2 linked regions of the Zea mays genome follow. The protein of the gene in region 2 interacts with the protein of the main gene of each other region in a pairwise test. Links are inferred from orthologs where the notes say so. Each region holds a gene or a part of one and is shown on either strand. Other genes may lie near its edges.

Evidence for each region. The genes of interacting proteins can lie anywhere in the genome.
Region 1: the proteins of Zerumbone synthase (region 2) and ABC transporter I family member 10 interact in binary tests that used the Arabidopsis thaliana proteins (3 or more experiments, as listed by UniProt). The link is inferred for Zea mays from reciprocal best matches to the Arabidopsis thaliana genes ABA2 and ABCI10.

Annotation. Positions count from the first base shown.
Region 1 is NC_050103.1:179,026,794-179,031,102, forward strand, and holds the start of ABC transporter I family member 10, read right to left. Parts: upstream 2,801-4,309; 5' UTR 2,765-2,800; coding exon 2,465-2,764; intron 1,563-2,464; coding exon 1,476-1,562; intron 700-1,475; coding exon 574-699; intron 500-573; coding exon 377-499; intron 164-376; coding exon 1-163.
Region 2 is NC_050100.1:3,427,731-3,431,424, forward strand, and holds Zerumbone synthase, read right to left. Parts: upstream 2,306-3,694; 5' UTR 2,027-2,305; coding exon 1,980-2,026; exon of another isoform or gene 1,577-1,979; intron 1,490-1,576; coding exon 685-1,489; 3' UTR 512-684; downstream 1-511. UniProt on the Arabidopsis thaliana protein: Involved in the biosynthesis of abscisic acid. Catalyzes the conversion of xanthoxin to abscisic aldehyde.

The sequences.
Region 1 (4,309 bases), on a different chromosome or scaffold from region 2:
ATTTTGATATGGTAGAGACGTCGCCTTGAATGATTATCTGGCCATCTTCCATATAGATGGCACCATCTGCATATTTCAGCTCTTCCAACCGATGAGTCACCCATAATGCGGCGACCTCCCCATCGGCAGCCACAGAGTCCCTCACTGCATTTATCACGCCTATCTGCAGTTGCAGCAAATGGAGATTAGAGTGCAGAACTGTAACTAGCGTATATCACAACCAGTAAAATCACTTAAGAACACAGAAGTTTTTATTCGCCATAAAATGTTACGATGCAAGTTAGACAAAACTAACATAAGGCACGATGATAAGCTCCAACAAATGGGAAAGAAATTCATGAAATCAAAAAAATCAGAATATGGAGGAGATTCAAACCTGGTCATGTTCATCTAAGAATGTGGTCAGTTCGTCCAGCAGTAATACTTTGGATGCTTCAGCTAACGCACCAGCAATTGCAACTCTCTGTTTCTGCCCACCACTCAGAGTTTGGATTGGCCTCTGTTTGAATGAAGGGTTATTAACATTGTGAAGACTTTAGATTATGATCCAAAAGCTGGAATTTAGAAGCCTACCTGAGAGTAGCTCAACATCCCAACGGCATCCAAAGATTTTGATACCCTTAACCTGACCTCATCTAACGGAAGTTTGAGCTTACCGAGACCAAATGCTACATCAGATCCCACTGTAGGCATCACAACCTGCATCCAAAGGACACAACTAAGAAAATCACAGTCGTTCTTCCATATAAAGACATGGTATAAAGACTTGGGCACATGAACAGTCTGGGGTTGCAGTTATTGGCTTGACCGCCATGTGGAAGCTTTCGTACACGCTATAACTTGTTTGATTCCAATGTGTTCATTTGAGTATTGAGTTGTCAACATAAATGTTTTGTCAAAACTAAAAAAATGAAGATCATAAAGTTCATGGTTTAGCAGACAATAAGTTAGATTTGATTCAACAAGACTCCTATAAATGTTATGTCCCCAACAAATAAGGGTACTAAGGAACAACTAGACCACAAGTGATGGCACCTTTTCTCTAGCATGGTACAAGAATATTATAATCAGATTGCATGACTCACCTAAAACTATGCTCCGAATGCATTTAAGTGGATATTGTATGAATTGGAGCACTAGCAGGGTATGCATGGAAAAGTTTTTGTGACAAATTGTCCATGCCTAATGACATATCTCATATACCGAGCCACATGATTAAATGTATAATCACAAGCATCAATTTATATCATTTAACCAAATACATTATTTACTTGTCCAATACAAAGTAAAATAGCCAATAGATGCTGAGTTTAACACATAAGCTGATACAGGTAACACTGAAACTGAACTCAATAGATGCTATGTGAGTTAATTGTGTTGGCATACTAGTATACTACAGATTCCACTTAAAATCTATTGTGAGACCTGACAACAGACCAGTTAGAGAACTATTAAAGAAAGAGAAGTTTTACCACCTGGTGATCAGGATTTTGGAAGACATAGCTGCATGGTCTGTTTATATACACTGTACCGGCCGTTGGATTCTGAAAACCTGCTAAAACCTAAAAAACACGGCGTTGACATTTATTCCCAGTGACAGTGATAAGAAATGGACAAATAAATTCTCAAAGTTTTGTTACCTAGTAATCAGAAATGAGCACAATGCATGTAGCTAACAACTTTACAAGCATAAGTAGATAAAACCAATTCATGTTTGTTTCTTCCACATGAATGTAACAGCCACTAGATCTTTTTTATAATTAACAGAAACTATATTCTGGTCCAAAAACAATGGGTGCAAATTAACTCTGTGTACTGCCATTTGTACTCCAGGACTCAACCCTTTATTGCTTTGTGATGATGCACCATACCTCAAAAGAGATGCAGAATTGACATTTGTGACATCTGTAACAAAGGTTTTATTAGATTTTCTTATTGGCTTTTAATGTGGACTTTCTATAGAAAATGATATGCACATTCACAAGTTATCGAAACCTTTCCTGAGAATTTTGGGTCCCCAAAACGGTACAACGACTTGTCTGAACATTTTCATGAAGTTCAACTACCCATTCTCCCCAAAAAACTGTACTCGCGACTCACGAGGTTGATGGGCTGGATCTTGATTCTATCCATACCGCATCCTACTTACATTTCCAATCGAAAAAAAACCAAACAATGTCAGACATAATTGACAGTATCTGCCAGTCTACCTCATATCTACCAAGTGAATTAGCCACTACACAGCAGAAAACTATTTTCTACGTTTCAAAATTGGCGGAAACAGGGTGCATTCCACGTTTTACTATTGAATGAAGATAACAGATGTGCTAAACCAATCTCTTAAGGCAATCACCAGTCTCATAAATTCAGTTCCAATTTCAATTCTCAGGCCTGCACGAATGAAGTGGGAGTGAAAAACACGAGATGTTGCCTTCTCGACCTACTCCTAGTTCAGAGGAAGAACCTTGAGCAGCGTGGACTTGCCGCAGCCGTTGGGGCCGAGGAGCATCCAGAGCTGCCCGGGCGGGACAAGGAGGGAGCATCCCTTAAGCACCGGCAACACCCTGCCCCGCCGCGTGGTCACCGAGAGGCTGACGTCACGACCCTCGATGGCGGGCGCGGGTGGAGGAGGGAAGGTCGAGGAGCATATCCGTAAGCTTCGACGAGGGGGAGCGACCAGGGTGCGATGAATGGTGGCAGAGGACGACGACACGGAGGGACCGCAGCGGAGGGAGCCGAAGCCGACGGCGAGGCCGTGCGTCATTTCGGCGAGCTAAGAAGAGCAGTAGGAGTTTCTGGGCCGGTGCTCTACATGGATAGGTCATAGGTGTCGGCCATGCTTCCAGCAAATAGACCGATCTGTCATGGCTTTCGTTCACGGATGGGCCGGGCCGATGATGGCTTTCCTGATGTGGGAATTTCTTCCCGCGTCGTTCCTGGTGTACTTACGAACGAAAAATCTAAAAAATATATGCTCATTTGAATTTGTACCGTCCCATTCCGCATACCGTTTTTACCTATACATTTTTGAACTGTTCGGAAATCGATTAAAAATGATACGGAAACGATTTAGCTAGTTTTTCAATTATTTTCGTATTTTCCATTTACGAGTCATGATAATACCGTTTTATATAATATGAGATACATTTAGAGTATAATTTATATAAGTTACATACTTTTGTTGTGTTTAAATAAATGAAGAACAGAAAAACAAAAATTATAATTACTATAAATGATATGAATGATAAAGAAGATTTATTTGTGTATTTTAATATCTTAAAAATTAGGCATTCTACCACTTTATTATGAATTTATGGAAACTACAAAATATTTGTCTTTCTGCCTAAAGCTTATCGTTTTCGATTGTTTTTGAATAATCGACAATCTCGATCCCGTATTTCAACAGTTGATTTTATGTTTTCGTCCCGTCAAAATAATATGAAAACAAAATCAATTTAGATGTTTTTTGATCTTTTTCGACCATTTTCATCCTATCTCTTAACTAGTGCACCACTTATTAGCTTGTGCTATATAAAAGATATAAACTATAAATATATATACTAATAATTTCAAAATAAAAAATGGTAATGAATTGGGTTGGCACTGTGAGTCGAGAAAACGGCCTAGGCACGGTACAAGCACACTTTTAGTTATGTCGGATTGGACCATGACACTATTAAATGAGTCGTATCTTAGACCAATCCACTATTTAGTCATCGATGGTCCCTCACTGTCACTGATCTCGCATTGTCTGACCTCACATTATACACCTCACAACTCACACTCATCTAATCTATGAGTTTGCATTGTGTTTTTAATAGATGTTCCATTTAAACAATGTCTGGTTATATAATGCTCCCCTTGTCTCAAATTAAAATTTGTTTCATATAATTAAGGGATTCATACAAGATTGGATGTATGTGTTTCATACACGTGTCTAGATTCATCATCATCTATTTGAGTATAGACATAAAAAATAAGATCTAAAACGAATACTATTTTGATACGAAGTGAGTATATAGGAACTATAGTGATGTATAGATAACTAACTAGTTAGAAGAGGAGTTCCTAGGAAAATTCCTTCTATGCCATTAGATTTTTTACTTATTTCTTGTGTATCACTAAGTGACATATAGATTTTTTTGTGTATGACATGTAAGACCAGTAAGGCTAGTGACACACAAAAAATGAATATATTTTTCGATGACGTACAAGGAATTGGCCAAGTTCCTAAGGGCCGGGATCACGCTCTGGTTGTAGACATTCAAAACCGGACGATCGGTTCTGCTTATAACGTTATGATTACGAA
Region 2 (3,694 bases):
GGTGGGCCTCTAATGAGGACATCATCTGCTGACAAGTTCATCAGTTTCATTCATAACCTTGAGATCGACACGGAATTAACTAGGGCATGCACTGTGGAGGGTAATGCTGCAGGTATTTGGTCAGAGCCTACCTTCCCAAGCGATCCACCGCCGAACAATAGCTCAAGTGTTACTATGCCAGGTAGATGCACAGAAAATTCTGAGACTGAGGCATGCAACACTGCCAACACCAGAGCCAGTCAGGCTTCTACTCCCACGAGCATGGCTGTTTGCGAAGGGGATTTGCTGCAGCCTGAGAGCACTAGTAACGGTATCCTACTTAACATTGTGAAAAGAAAAGGGATGCCCTACGGGCTAGTGTAACTGAATTGGCCGAAAGCTCCTGCTCACTTGATAATGATGCTTTTGTAGCTTCGCATCAACCTCGAGCTGGTGATTAGATTCTTCTTGATTTTGGAAGGTCATTATATAGCCACAGCAGCAACGCTGTAGGACGAAATTGTACTTGATCTATTTGAAGAGCAACTATATGCGTGAATTCAGCAATGATACTTGGAATGTTCAATCATCTGTTGGCTACATGAACATGCTGCGGTTTATTAGTCTTGCACACACTTGTCACAACAGCAGAAGAAATAGCGGTAATACTCCCTCCCAATCCCAGAGCTGGCATAAATGCCTCAACTAATCCTCAAACGCCCTGAGGTTATTGTTTACGGCTGTGAAGCCTCCGTCCACCATGAGGTTGACCGCGCTGACGTACCTCGCCTCGTCGCTGGCCAGGTAGAGCACCGCCTGGGCGACGTCCTCGGGCATGGCGTCGACGCCCTTGAGGTTGGCCTCGCCGCCGACAAAGGCCAGGAAGTCCTTGAGCGCGTCATCTGCGCGCGCGCCCTGGGGCAGGTGCGGCATCGACAGCGCCGTGGGCACGGCATAGGGGGACACGCAGTTGACGCGCACCCCGTGGCGGCCGAGCTCCGCGGCGACGCTCTTGGTGAGCCCGACCACGGCGTGCTTGGACGCCGTGTAGACGTGCGGGCCCGTCCCGCCGATGGCGCTGGCCACGCTGGCCAGCGACACGATGGAGCCCCGCTTCCGCGGGATCATAGCGCGCGCCGCGTGCTTCATCCCCAGGAACACGCCGTGCACGTTGACGTCGAGCACCCTGCGCGCCTCCGCGAAGTCCACGTTGCGGATGTCCGTCACCTTGGTGCCCGTCACGCCGGCGTTGTTCACCATCACGTCCAGCGCGCCGAACCGCTCCGCCGCAGCGTCCACGGCGCGGCTCACGTCCTCCTCCGACGTCACGTCGCAGTGGACGAACATGGCGCCCTGCGCGTCACCTCCCAGGGCGTCGCGCAGCTGCTGCCCAGCCTCATCCTGGATGTCCGCGATGCAGACCTTGGCGCCGTGCTCCATGAAGAGGCGAACGATGGCCTCACCGATGCCGGTGGCGCCACCAGTGACGAGGGCCACCTTCCCTTCCAGCCTGTGTTTGGGGCAAGAAACGCAAGATCAAATCTGAAGGACAAAAACACAGGCACAGCTACTGGATGGAGATGGAGCAGCACCGTACTATGGTGTTGCAACTGGATCGACTGTATGCCGATGTATACTGCACGTTTGGAACAGTAGAATGGTTGAGGATACACTTGGCACACCATTTCCTATTTTCCTCCCATAAAGAAGAGAGGGGGAAATGACCACTTCGCTCGCTAAAAGATAAGCACAGAGCACCAGTGCTTGGCCTGGGTGGATCCTTCAATTCATCGCCCTTCGACGCGAAAAGGTGGAAATTTTGATCAATATCTTGGATAAGCCCGCCTTCTTTTTGGAGTAACAAGTAGGTTGAACTGCAACAGCAACCGAGCTGTGCAGCATAGATGCAAGCCATGGACGGGGGAGTGGAGCTAGGAGCAGGGAACCCACGCACGAGCCATGGATCGGGGGAAAATTGAAGAAAGAAGCAGGGCACGCACCGCTTACTCGAGGAGGAGAAGGACGGCGAGGAGCCCGCGGCGGCCATCGTCTTTAGATCGGCGCCTGTGCCTCCTCCGCGCTCCGGTGGTCGCCGAATCCAAGTGCGCGCTGTCGTTGCGGGAGCGAGCAAGTTGGGAAGGCGTTGTCAAAATCTGGGTGGAGGAGCTGGCGCACGTGGGCCAGTAAACGACAGCGCACCGGGCATTTGGCGTTTCGTGTGTTGAATAATTGGGTTAAGACCCATTGACTAATTAATAAAATAAACCACAAGGTACATTAGCGGTGAAAGTTACAATTAGTTAATTGGTTCTTGATGACCTTTTATCTTGATGACCCTCTTTTAGGGCATGTATAACCTAGACACTGCTGCACGGTACTCTATATACAAGACACAACTAAAACACAACCGTGGTCATGTCTAAAACATGTGTTTTACCATATTTATTGTACCAATCAGAGCATTCAATAAATTAAAGTGACCAATCAGCTAGTCTTCTGTCTCGAATATAGAGCTAAGACATTGTGTCTTCGTCAAGATACATGTCTTTAGTTTTTTTACATTCACCCCCCTAGACACATCTAAGGCACAACTTAAGACACTTATTGTACATGCCCTTATAACTAGTAACTCATGCTTTTGATGGTTGAGAGTTACTGTTTTGATGGTCTTTTCATGGTCAGTAATATGTCTCTTGATGGTCAAACCGTCATTTGATAGTCCTTTTATGGCATTAACCTATAAGCTAAAGGGGGTTCTGGTGCCTGTAAAAAGAGGCGCTACCTCTCATCCAATGACACGTAAAATCACCAGAGCTATCCACTGCTACGTTGCGTTGTGCTTTCTCGGCTCTGTGTTCTTGCGCGCACAAGATACAGAGTAAGCAGGTCTCTAAAGCCATCGTCGTTGTAAAAGATTCTGCTCGAGACAGCAGTCGATCAGATTTTCAGGGAGCGCACAACACAACTTCTTGATCGACATCGACTTGTTCGTGGGAGCGCGTTCATCTTCTTTCTTGTGGTTGTTCGCATGAAACCGTTTGTCTTCTTCCTGGTGGCTATTCACAGTACTGCACTGCGAACATCAAACTGCATCAAATTCCGATCGACTACATCAAACTTACACGCGAGATGTATCATGTGAACGGAGCCATCGTTGCTCTAAGCATTGGTCCTTCCACTTATTGTTGTGCATGTTATTCTACTATTTACTACTACTGTGAGTCAGCGGCAATCGGTGGATCTAGAATTTTGCTATAGGGTATATGGTCTTAACAAAAATATGTATAGTTCAGTAAAATACATCTCAAAATTAAATAAATAATAATAAATGCTGCGCTGCAGTTTGGTATTCAATGCAAAACTAGCGTGATGATTCTTACATTTAAAATTAGGTTTGCAACTTATATAATTTTTCTTCTCTTGCTTAAAGAAAAACTAAACCTTTATTTTTAACGGTCACTGCTGACCAACAACTGAAGACTTCCAACAGTTCATGAGTACTGTATGTGCTAAGAAAAGATAACATAAATTCAATAAACAAAGCTATTGTAGGCTAGTTTTAGAGTATGGCATACTCTGGATACATGTGGTGTGTTTGGTTTGTGGAGTCACTTTATGCTTCATGAGGTGATACATCATAAGTTCATTTAATCAATTTTGGTGGAATCAACTCACTCCTCGTATATATACTAATTATTAGCTTATCAGGAATGAG